Linked DNA regions of Macaca fascicularis. The protein of the gene in region 2 purifies or fractionates together with the protein of the main gene of each other region. This does not show direct contact. Links are inferred from orthologs where the notes say so. Each region holds a gene or a part of one and is shown on either strand. Other genes may lie near its edges.

Region 1 (3,655 bases), on a different chromosome or scaffold from region 2:
AAAAAGGTAATAGAAATTTTTTTAAATGGTATTATAAACATTAATGGAAAAATAATCTGATCAGAAATATTTGATTAACATTTTAAAATAACACTGTTGTTAGCACCTACTGTATGTCAGTCATATTACATATGTTAGAATTTCTGTTCCTCACAACAATTTACGAAGTAGGGATTACAACCCCCCCCACTCACATTTTACATGAACAAAAATGGAGCTGAGAGGGGTTACAGACATTACTCTGCTGTCTGAGACCACAGAGTAAGTAATGGATCCAGAATTTGAACTTTCTGACTCCAGGTTTAGGACTCTTTCCATGAACTTGTTCTGTATTCCCCGATGCTACACAGGATTTTCAGTTCCAGTTCCCTAACATGAAATCACAGGTCTTTACTATATGACATTTCTTTGACAACCTCAAAATATCAACAAACCATTTAACCAAGTCAGAAACAAAAATTCAATATATTTCTACAAGATTAAAAAGCAATTTATCTTAATACATATGAACCTAAAATGTCCATAAAATTTCTAAACAAAAAGGAATTATCCCACATTTCAGAAGTTTAAAATATTATAGATAATTAGTAGTAGGAAAAAATACTAACTTTTTTCCATCGAAAGAGGTGATCTGAAAACAATATCGTCTGTCTTCACAGTCCACAGCCATCACTGAACAGTTGTCTATGTCCATGGCCAGGCCTCCTGCTACATCCCCACGGGCCTGACTCATTAAATTTCCACCCTGCGTGAAGTAAAACTGTCTGTCCCAGGTAGATGACACCAAGCCTGTTTTACTAAATGAAGAAAGCACATTCACTCTTTAATAACAACATACCTGAATCTCATCATCAGCTAGACACAAGATAAAGCATGTTACAAAGAACTGGCTTCCGAAAAGGCACCAAGATGCCAAGAAAATAAATATAAATATGCTTTCAGTCTCTAAAATAAATTCATGTATATTGACTCACTTTTGTGAATGTATATACAGTTTCCAAAACAAGGCTGGAAATTATCAAACTGTGGCTGTTATAATAACGATCCATAAAATACAGGTTATAGTTCAACTTCCAAGGGAGTAAATTCAAAACAATAGAATTTATTTTATTTCTAGGGTTAACCTGCTTCATCCTATCATCAGGTGAAAACTAACATTTGACTTGGTGCTATAATTACAAATATATTAAAGTATGATAAATGATATTTCGCAGCATTCTCATGTGATGATACCATATGTGAATATTTACTTAAACTCAAATTAGTTTCAGTTCATTTTTTTTTTTGAGACAAGAGTCTCACTCTGTCCCCTAGGCTAGAGTGCAGTGGCGCGATCTCAGGTCACCGCAACCTTTGCCTCCCAGGTTCAAGTGATTCTTGTGCCTCAGCCTCCTGAGTAGCTGGGATTACAGGCATAAGCCACCATGCTCGGCTAATTTTTGTATTTTTAGTAGAGGTGGGGCTCCACCATGTTGGCCAGGCTGGTCTCGAACTCCTGACCTCAGGTGATCCACCTGCCTTGGTCTCCCCCAAAGTGCTGGGATCACAGGTGTGAGCCACCACGCCCAGCCTTGGTTTCACTTCTTTTATCATTCTACATTATTCAATAAATAGCTAGGTAGGATTTTACTTCTGAAAAGTATTTACGTACCTCATCTGTCAAAAAGTTCACATAATACTAACACCTCTAAAAAGTTTCAACCTTTAATAAAAATCAAAACAATATGACAGACATCAATTATTTATTATATTCATTTGGTATTGTCTTACATGATATACAATATACAAAAATAACAATAGTTTTCTTACTTCCTAGCATTAAGGTATCCAGCCTTTCGGGTTAAATTTCGATTAACAGGAAATTTGGTGGGGTCTGGGTCAGGCACATATAAGGGATCACTGGCTACTTCCAAATCCTCTATTGTCTGTTGCATGGTCTCTATATCACTGTCCATTTCCCTGCGAACACTGATACAGAACAGATTATTTACTATAAATCACAATCAATGTAGAACTCCTTACTAATCATGTTTACCTGCATATTTGTTTTGGATATGTTTTCTTAAAGAGAGGAAATGTGGCATGCGTGGTTAAAACAACACAAATACATTTTAAAACAGGTTTACAGTTTATTTGAAACTTAGATATTTTGGAAACAATACTAAATTCAAAAAATGAATGAAGCCCCACTGAATCCCTGATTTTGGCATAATTTTCAAACTGCGCCTTTAAAACAGAGGTCCTGTGCCTTTAAAACAACAATCACTTTCATCTCTCTCCATACCGTGGACAGACCACATATATTGCTCAGCATTTTGAACCTGATGAGAACTGCTTTCTCTCTGTCTTTAAGCTTTCATGGCGTGGAAACAATATTTAGTAATCTCCCATTAAACTCCCACAATTTCAAGTTTAAAGATAATTTCACTTATGGGGAATTACTATTATGTGTCTGTTTTATTCAGACATAAAACTGAGTTTAGAATCAAATTATCACCATTAAGAAATTCGAAGTTCACAATCTATGGAAAAAAGAGGTAAAAAAAAAAAAAAAACAAGAAGTAACCATGAACCATATAAGAAACTCTCATGGCAGGGAAAATATTCACTCAGGAAATTAAATGATAAATATCTTTACATTATATCACTGAGCTGTTAAGCTATCATTCACATCATTTCATTTTCAATTTTAAGGAAAAAAATACTTACTTCTGAACGCTTGTTCCAATATTAGCTAAAAATTCTTCCAGTTGTTCATTAAGATTTTCAGAACCCATCTTAAAGAAACTTATCTGGAGAGCAGGGAGTCGGGGGAATTGAACAATACAAAAATACATTAAGCAATACTTAAAGTAAATCATATAAACAATCTCTAAGATACATGGTTAGGTAAAAAACAAAGGAATATTCCCATTTGTGTAAAAATACATTGTAGTTTGTGATTTCTACTGCACATGGAGCCATTAAGGAAGTTAGACTTAAATTCCACTACATATCCTTTTATATTTTTTGAATTGGAACAAGTAATACATATGTATGGTTAACAATCTTTTAAAATTGGAAAATAAATTTTAAAGTATTTCCAACAAATTATATAAAGTATTTCATGTTTACTACAAAGATAAGTTTTCTATCTGAGGAATAATCAGTAAAGTACTCTTTTACTTAAATAGATTCAATTTTTTGTTTTTTTTTGAGACAGGGTCTCGCTTTGTCATCCAGACTGCACAGTAACACCTCATTGCAGCCTCAGCCTCCTAGGCTCGAGGGATCCTTCCATCTCAGCCTCCCAAGTTGCTGGGACCATGGAGGCATGCTACCAAGCCCAACTAATTTTTTCAATTTTTGTAGAGATGGGGTCTCCCTACATTGCTAAGGCTAGTCTTAAACTCCTGGACTCAAGTGATTCTCCTACCTCGGCCCTACCAAAGTGCTTGATTATAGGCATGAGGCACCGCACCTGGCCTCAATTTTCTTTAAACTCTTAATTTTTAGGAGACTGACACTTTGTCTTATACTACCCAAAACAAATTTCTAGCCCCCTTCCTGATGTACCTTGGGGCACGCTGGAGTTCATCTATTATTTTTAACTCAGGAAGTATGCAAGGAATATGGGATAAACTCAAACCTGTTCATTCTCTTTCAGATCTATTAT
Region 2 (3,655 bases):
AGTCAAGTGGATTACCTGAGGTCAGGAGTTCGAGACCAGCCTGACCAATATGGTGAAACCCTGTCTCTACTAAATACAAAAAAGAATTAGGTGGACGTGGTGGCATGCACCTGTAGTCCCAGCAACTTGGGAAGCTGAGACAGGACAATTGCTTGAACCGAGGAGGCGATCTTGGCTCACTGGAGTGCAGTGAGGCGAGATCACGCCACTGCACTCCAGCCTGGGTGACAGAGCAGGACTCCATCAAAAAAAAAGAAGAAAAAGGGTGGCACGCTCCTAATCCTTTGGTATTGCAGTTAAAATACTAGTTTATAGTAATATCTGTACTATACAGTATCTTCTAGGAATACATAACACACAAATGCATACGCACACATACAAATGCATAACATATACAAATAAGTATATATAATACGTGTATATATCATTTAAGAGTATATGTAGCTGGAACCTTTGTGTCTTTTGAGAGAGATTAATGCCTGGAGTGATACTCATTCAACCAGTAGAAACAAAATTTATTTGAAGTCCAATTAAAGAACAACTCTGATGCTGGGCGCCATGGCTCACACCTGTAATCCCAGCACTTTGGGAGGCCGAGGTGGGCGGATCATCTGAGGTCCAGGAGTTTGAGACCAGCCTGACAAACATGGAGAAACCCTGTCTCTACTAAAAATACAAAATTAGTCGGGCATGGTGGCGCACGCCTGTAATCCCAGCTGTTTGGGAGGCTGAGGCAGGAGAATTGCTTGAACCTGGGAGGCAGAGGTTGCAGTGAGCCAAGATCGTGCCATTGCACCTCTAGCCTGGGCAGCAAGAGCAAAACTCCGTCTCAAAAAAAAAAAAAGAACAAATCTGGTGCTTTAGTTGGTAGCTGTTAAATCTTCGAGAAAGTCTGGGTCGTTCTTTCATCATAAGTAAACTCATACCAACAGATTGTGAACCACAAGAAGGATTGTGCGGATGATTGTCCTGCAGGGTTTTTTGGCTTCATTTATTTTCCACAGGTTTACTCATAAAGTTGCCTTGCCATCTTACATATTCTGCTTATGATGGATTTTCTGGTTTAAGGTAATAATGTAATTTCATTGCCTTTAACTGCTTGTGTTAAATTTCTTTTCTCTCAAAAATAATCACTACAGATTAATTGAAAATGGTTCTTGTGTGCTTTACAATCAGTTTATAAATATTGGAGCATATACTTATTTGTTCTTTATTATTTCCTTTCTCAATTTGATTGTTCCGGTCTCAACTTCTAAGATGAATTCAAAATTGGATCCTTAATAGTCTTTTAGTCTTTTCAAAATGTAGTAAGCAAATGTCAAACTTTTTGTTATAGAATATTCTCTAAGATCTGTTTATGTATTTTAGGATATTGGTGCTGGAAAAGGCAAATACTATGCTGTCAATTTTCCAATGAGAGATGGTATAGATGATGAGTCATATGGGCAGATATTTAAGCCTGTAAGTATTGTTTTCAAAATTGGAATGGAATTTCAGAATGTTATTGGAGATGCTAACATTTGTTATCTTGTGTGTAGATTATCTCAAAGGTGATGGAGATGTATCAACCTAGTGCTGTGGTATTACAGTGTGGTGCAGACTCATTATCTGGTGATAGACTGGGTTGTTTCAATCTAACAGTGAAAGGTAAGCAATTCAAAGGGTGGTATTCCCAGAAAAAAAATGATTTTTCTTCCACCTAAGAACTTCCCATAAAAGTTCTCATTGTAATTTCTTGCCTGCTGTTTTAACACTATACTCTGCATTTTTCCTGGGGTTTTGTCTGTTGTATATATGACTAGAGTTATTCTTGTTACATTGTGGCAGATTTATATGTACATTTATATATGACTAGTTTTTTAGTTTATTGTAGTTTGAACCCAAGGCAGCTATTTTCGAATGTTTTTGTTGACTCAGTGTCAATAAAACAATGCATACTTTATTACTTAATTGGATTATTCTCATTAAGGAAGAAGAGGGTTTAGCTCTCCTCACCACTTTGCCCACAGCATACTTGTAACCCTTCCCACATCTCTATTTTTTACAAATCAGAATTTGGTTGTGACATTTAGTGTTTACAGCAGCATCTTTAAACACTTTTCAGCTTATCCAAGTTTTCTTTGCCGAATAATTGTTCCTAAGTTTCACATTTGCTTAGTTTTCTCTCCACTTATTGCTAAACTACTGGTGTCTCAGTATCTCCATATGTTCAGATCCATTGAGTATTCTGTCACTTTTACCTTCTTGAAAAACAGCCTTCTCATCTGTTCATGTTTGGATGACTCTCTTTGGTAGACCTGGCGGGACATATAGCTGTTCTCTGCTTTTTTTCTATTGTATTGGTTCTTCCTGGTGGCTCTATTCTCTGTCGTTAATTTTTTTCTCATGTTTTCGTGGAGCGCCTTCTCAAGTAGCTTCCTGATAAAAAGTGTGTGGGAGATTAGGAGTGCTGCAGTACATACTAAATTTTGATCACGTGTTGAAGTCAGCATATGATGGAAGTCTAGGCCAAAGCAAAATATCACCATTCTGGAATGAACTTCTAGGGTGTAAGAATAAATCTGAAATTTAATAAGATCTTAAAATTTATTTGTTGGTTAGAAATGATTTTTATCATGAGTGTTTGTGTATGATTTTAGAGGTTTTTTTCCATGTGAACTTTTAGGTAGCAAGTTGATACTCTGCTTTGTATTCTCTAAGATGTAGAGAATTCTCAGATAGAACTTTCTCCAGAACAACTGCTGGTCTTAATGGAATTGGATAACTAAATACAGATATTAAAAGCTTCTTTACTTAATGTTACGATTGCTACTATACCAGCTGTATTAGAATTATGGTATAGTCTGTTATTCTACATTAAGTTAAATGATATTAAATTAATTGTCCCTTTGTAGGTCAGCAGTGGTTGAACAGCATGTAACTTAATGTGTTAATAACCATCTTTTGCCTCAAAATGTTTATAAACTTTCTTTTTTTTTTTTTTTTTTTTTATGAGACGGAGTCTCGCTCTGCCGCCCAGGCTGGAGTGCAGTGGCTGGATCTCAGCTCACTGCAAGCTCCGCCTCCTGGGTTCACGCCATTCTCCTGCCTCAGCCTACCGAGTAGCTGGGACTACAGGCGCCCACCACCTCGCCCGGCTAGTTTTTTGTATTTTTCAGTAGAGACGGGGTTTCCCCGTGTTAGCCAGGATGGTCTCGATCTCCTGACCTCGTGATCCGCCTGTCTCAGCCTCCCAAAGTGCTGGGAGTACAGGCTTGAGCCACCGCGCCCGGCCTATAAACTTTCTAAAACGATCTACCTGATGTACTCTTAAGAGTGTGTATTAACTATCAGTTTTCCTGTTAGACATGAAAGTCCTTAATGTTTTTGTACTTAATAGTTTTTATAATCATTTCACTCTTAGAGAAAAATTAACGTTGTATTTCAGCTAATAGTGTTTCAGTTGTATAAAGCATGTAAGGATATTTGTAATTCCCAAGTGTTAAACTTCATTCTGAGTTTCTCTACTGCCAGCTTTGATTCAGCTTTTTCTTTTTTTTTTTGTTTTTTTTGTTTTTTTTTTGAGACGGAGTCTCGCTCTGTCGCCCAGGCTGGAGTGCAGTGGCGCGATCTCGGCTCACTGCAAGCTCCGCCTCCTGGGTTTACGCCATTCTCC
Region 3 (3,655 bases), on a different chromosome or scaffold from region 2:
GTCTGTATATTCCAGATACTAACCCTTTGTCAGATATATGTGCTGGATATCATTTCATTTTCTTTATGGTGTTATTTGATGAATTTAAGTTCATAATTATAATGTAATCAAACCTGGAAGTTTTTTTAAATGCTTAGTACTTTGTCATAAAAAATCCTTTTCCACTCAAAAGTCATATTCTATTTTCTACTTTAATGCATCTGTAATTGGTATTTGTCTACGGTGTGAGGTAGGGAACCAAGCCCAGTTTTTTCCCATGAATAACCATGTTGTTTTTAATATCCTAGCAACACTTATTGAACAGACCATTTTCGCCCATCAATCACCCCCACATCATGTATCACATAACAAGTGCTATATACATATGTGGGCTTGTTTCCAGGCTCTCTATACTATTCCACTGGTTTATTTTTCTATTCCTAGTCCCAAAACACATTAATTACTATGGCTTTATAACGTCTTGATTTCTGTTAGGAAAAGTTTATCGACATCTTTCTTTTTCTTCTGAAGATGCCTATTTTGGGCCTTTTGCTTTTCTATATAAATTATAAATTAGCTTGTCAAGTTCCATAAATATGTTGGGGTTTTGACTGCAATTACCCTGAATCTACAAAGTGATAATCTCCCTAACAGTCAGTTTAATAATATCTATGAATGTGCTATACCTCTCAATTTATTTAGGTGTCTTTAAATGTTATTCAATGGCCAGGCACAGTGGTTCATGCCTATAATCCCAGCACTTTGGGAGGCCAAGACGGACAGATCACCTGAGGTCAGGAGTTCACTATCAGCCTGGCCAACATGGTGAAACCTCATCTCTACTAAAAATACAAAAATCAGCAGGGTGTGGTGGTGCACGCCTGTAATCCCAGCTACTCCGGAGGCTGAGACAGGAAAACTGCTTGAACCCAGGAGGTGGAGGTTGCGGTGAGCCAAGATTGCACCACTGCACTCCAGCCTAGGGTGACAGAGCGAGACTCACTCTCTCTCTCTCTCTCTCTGTGTATATATATACACACACACATATATATACACACACACATACATATATATATATATGAATGTTCTTCAACAATATTGTATGATTTTTACATAACTCCTCCAAAGGGTTTTTGATATTTTACTACTACATTATTTTATATTTCCTAACACTAGGGTAAAATGTATCATTCTAATGCCAAACTGCCTAGATTTAAATCCTGCTCTACTTATTGTGTAACCTTAAACAAAGTACTTCCTTCCTCTTTGTACCTCTGTTTTCACATAATGCTTCACAGAACTGTTGTAAAGACTAAGTAAGGCCAGGTGCAGTATCTCACACCTGTAATCCCAGCACTTTGGGAGGCCAAGGCAGGCAGATCACTTGAGGCCAGAAGTTCAAGACCAGCCTGGCCAATATGGCGAAACCCATCTCTACTAAAATACAAAAGTTAGCCAGACATGGTGGTGCATGCCTGTAGACCCAGCTATTTGGGCGGCTGAAATGGCAGAATCGCTTGAACCCAGGAGGCAGATATTGCAGTGAGCCAAAATAACACCACTGTACTCCAGTCTGGGCTACAGAGTGAAACTCTCAAAAAAAAAAAAGATTAAATAAATGCATATATTTAAACCATCTATAAAGTACTCATACTATGCCCTAGGCACTGTTCTAAAGCGTTTACTACTACTGGTACTACCACTATCACTGCTACTACCAATATTGTATTGGTTAGAACATTCTGTATAATGCTGAATAGAAATGGTGATAGTCAACACTCTTGATTTGTTCCTGATCATAGAGAAAATGCTTTCTTTTTATCACAGTTATGTATTATGTACTTTGGTACTTTTTGTAAGATTCCTGTTGTCTAAGTAAAAAAGTTTCCTTCTATTCCTATTTTGCTAGAAGTTTTGTTTTAAACCTTAAAGGAAAGTTCAAATTTGTCAAACTCCTTCTTTGCACCACTAAGAAGACAATACCTTTCTTTAGAACCTATCAATGTGGGCTGGGCACGGTGGCTCACGCCTGTAATCCCAACACTTTGGGAGGCTGAGACGGGTGGATCACCTAAGGTACGGAGTTCGAGACCAGCCTGACCAACAATGAAACCCCTTTTCTACTAAAAATACAAAAATTTAGCCAGGCATGGTGGCGTGCGCCTGTAATCCCAGCTACTTGGGAGGCTGAGGCAGGAGAATCGCTTGAACCCGGGAGGCAGAGGTTGCAGTGAGCCGAAATCGTGCCATTGCACTCCAGCCTGGGCAACAAGAGCGAAACTCCATCTCAAAAAGGAAGGAAGGACGGAAGGACGGAAGGACGGAAGGACGGAAGGACGGAAGGAAGGAAGGAAGGAAGGAAGGAAGGAAGGAAGGAAGGAAGGGAGGGAAAGAAAGGATGGAAGGAAGGAAGGAAGGAAGGAAGGAAGGAAGGAAGGAAGGAAGGAAGGAAGGAAGGAAGGAAGGAAGGAAAGAAGGAAAGAAGGAAAGAAAGAAACTGCTGATGTGGTAAATTATATTAGTTGATCTTCTCATGTTCAAAAACCAATCTTACATACCTAGAATAACCCTAGTGGTAGATGATGTATTGTTTTGGTATCAAATTTATATCAGCCTTAAAAATGCTTGGGGCCTATGCCCTATTTTATCCACAGTCTGGAAAAGCCAGTGCATAGGCCCCAATCATCTGTTCCTGGATGTTTAGTACAACTTGCATATTGTGGCTTTTTTTTTTTTTTTTTGAAATAGTCTTGCTTTGTCACTAGGCTGAAGTGCAGTGGTGCAGTAATAGTTTACTGCAACCCTAACCTCCTAGGCTCAAGCAATCCCCTCACCTTGGCCTCCCAAAATGCTAAGATTACAGGTGTGAGCCACCACGCCTGGCCCGAATCAATTTATTATGAGATTATCTCGTTTTTTCACTTTTTCTTGAGACAGCTTTAGCAAGATGCCTTTTTTCTAGTACTGTACCCGCTTCACCTGTATGTTCAAATTTATTGGCATAAAGTTGTCTATAATATCCTATTTTTTAAATGTCTGCTTTATCTATACCTAAGTCTCTTTTCTCTCTCCTAAAATTGCTTATGTGTATCATCATCTCCTTTTCCTGATCCACTTTATCTCTAGTACTTTTTTGGTCACGTCTTTTTGAAGGACGAACTTTTAGTTTCACTGATTCTCTCCACTGCATATTGTCTTTCTACTCCACTTATCTAGCAATAGGAAATGTAGGTACCTTGATGTGATTTTTATTTTAAATAAATTTTAATAGGAAGAACATACAAAATCCCACTTCTCTGCTCAATTCCTGCTTAATCCACTGCAATCGTGTGTTACCAACTGTTTGCCAAATGCCATTTAATTGCTAAGAAAGTAGGAAAACACTGCCTGTAATTAAGATGGTTTGCTGGTTAGAGAGATATTTTCTGTTTCTTTTACCTTTTCCAGTATGTGAGATCTAAAAAGGAAAAAACTGGTGTTCTGTTAGAACCAGAAGCCATCTCTGTATCTGAGCCGTCATCGGACTGGTTACTGTAACAAGGAGATTGAGCTGGGGAGGCACTTGAGGTGGTACTGTGAGCATCAGAATCTGCAATAAAGATTAAAAGAAAAAATAAAATTTTCAATTTCATTACATGTAATTGCAACTAAACCTCAGCATAGGACACTGTGAATC

The links.
Region 1: the proteins of HDAC2 (region 2) and APPL1 purify together in Homo sapiens (co-immunoprecipitation; 3 studies listed by BioGRID and IntAct, with this or other methods). This does not show direct contact. The link is inferred for Macaca fascicularis from reciprocal best matches to the Homo sapiens genes HDAC2 and APPL1.
Region 3: the proteins of HDAC2 (region 2) and SINHCAF purify together in Homo sapiens (affinity purification with mass spectrometry; 3 studies listed by BioGRID and IntAct, counting the BioPlex papers as one, with this or other methods). This does not show direct contact. The link is inferred for Macaca fascicularis from reciprocal best matches to the Homo sapiens genes HDAC2 and SINHCAF.

The regions. Positions count from the first base shown.
Region 1 is NC_088376.1:120,335,497-120,339,151, reverse strand, and holds part of APPL1 (DCC-interacting protein 13-alpha), read right to left. Parts: intron 2,793-3,655; coding exon 2,710-2,792; intron 1,969-2,709; coding exon 1,810-1,968; intron 798-1,809; coding exon 609-797; intron 1-608. UniProt on the Homo sapiens protein: Multifunctional adapter protein that binds to various membrane receptors, nuclear factors and signaling proteins to regulate many processes, such as cell proliferation, immune response, endosomal trafficking and cell metabolism.
Region 2 is NC_088378.1:17,988,068-17,991,722, reverse strand, and holds part of HDAC2 (histone deacetylase 2), read left to right. Parts: intron 1-1,368; coding exon 1,369-1,461; intron 1,462-1,538; coding exon 1,539-1,647; intron 1,648-3,655. UniProt on the Homo sapiens protein: Histone deacetylase that catalyzes the deacetylation of lysine residues on the N-terminal part of the core histones (H2A, H2B, H3 and H4).
Region 3 is NC_088385.1:33,850,149-33,853,803, forward strand, and holds part of SINHCAF (SIN3-HDAC complex-associated factor), read right to left. Parts: intron 3,569-3,655; coding exon 3,418-3,568; intron 1-3,417. UniProt on the Homo sapiens protein: Subunit of the Sin3 deacetylase complex (Sin3/HDAC), this subunit is important for the repression of genes encoding components of the TGF-beta signaling pathway.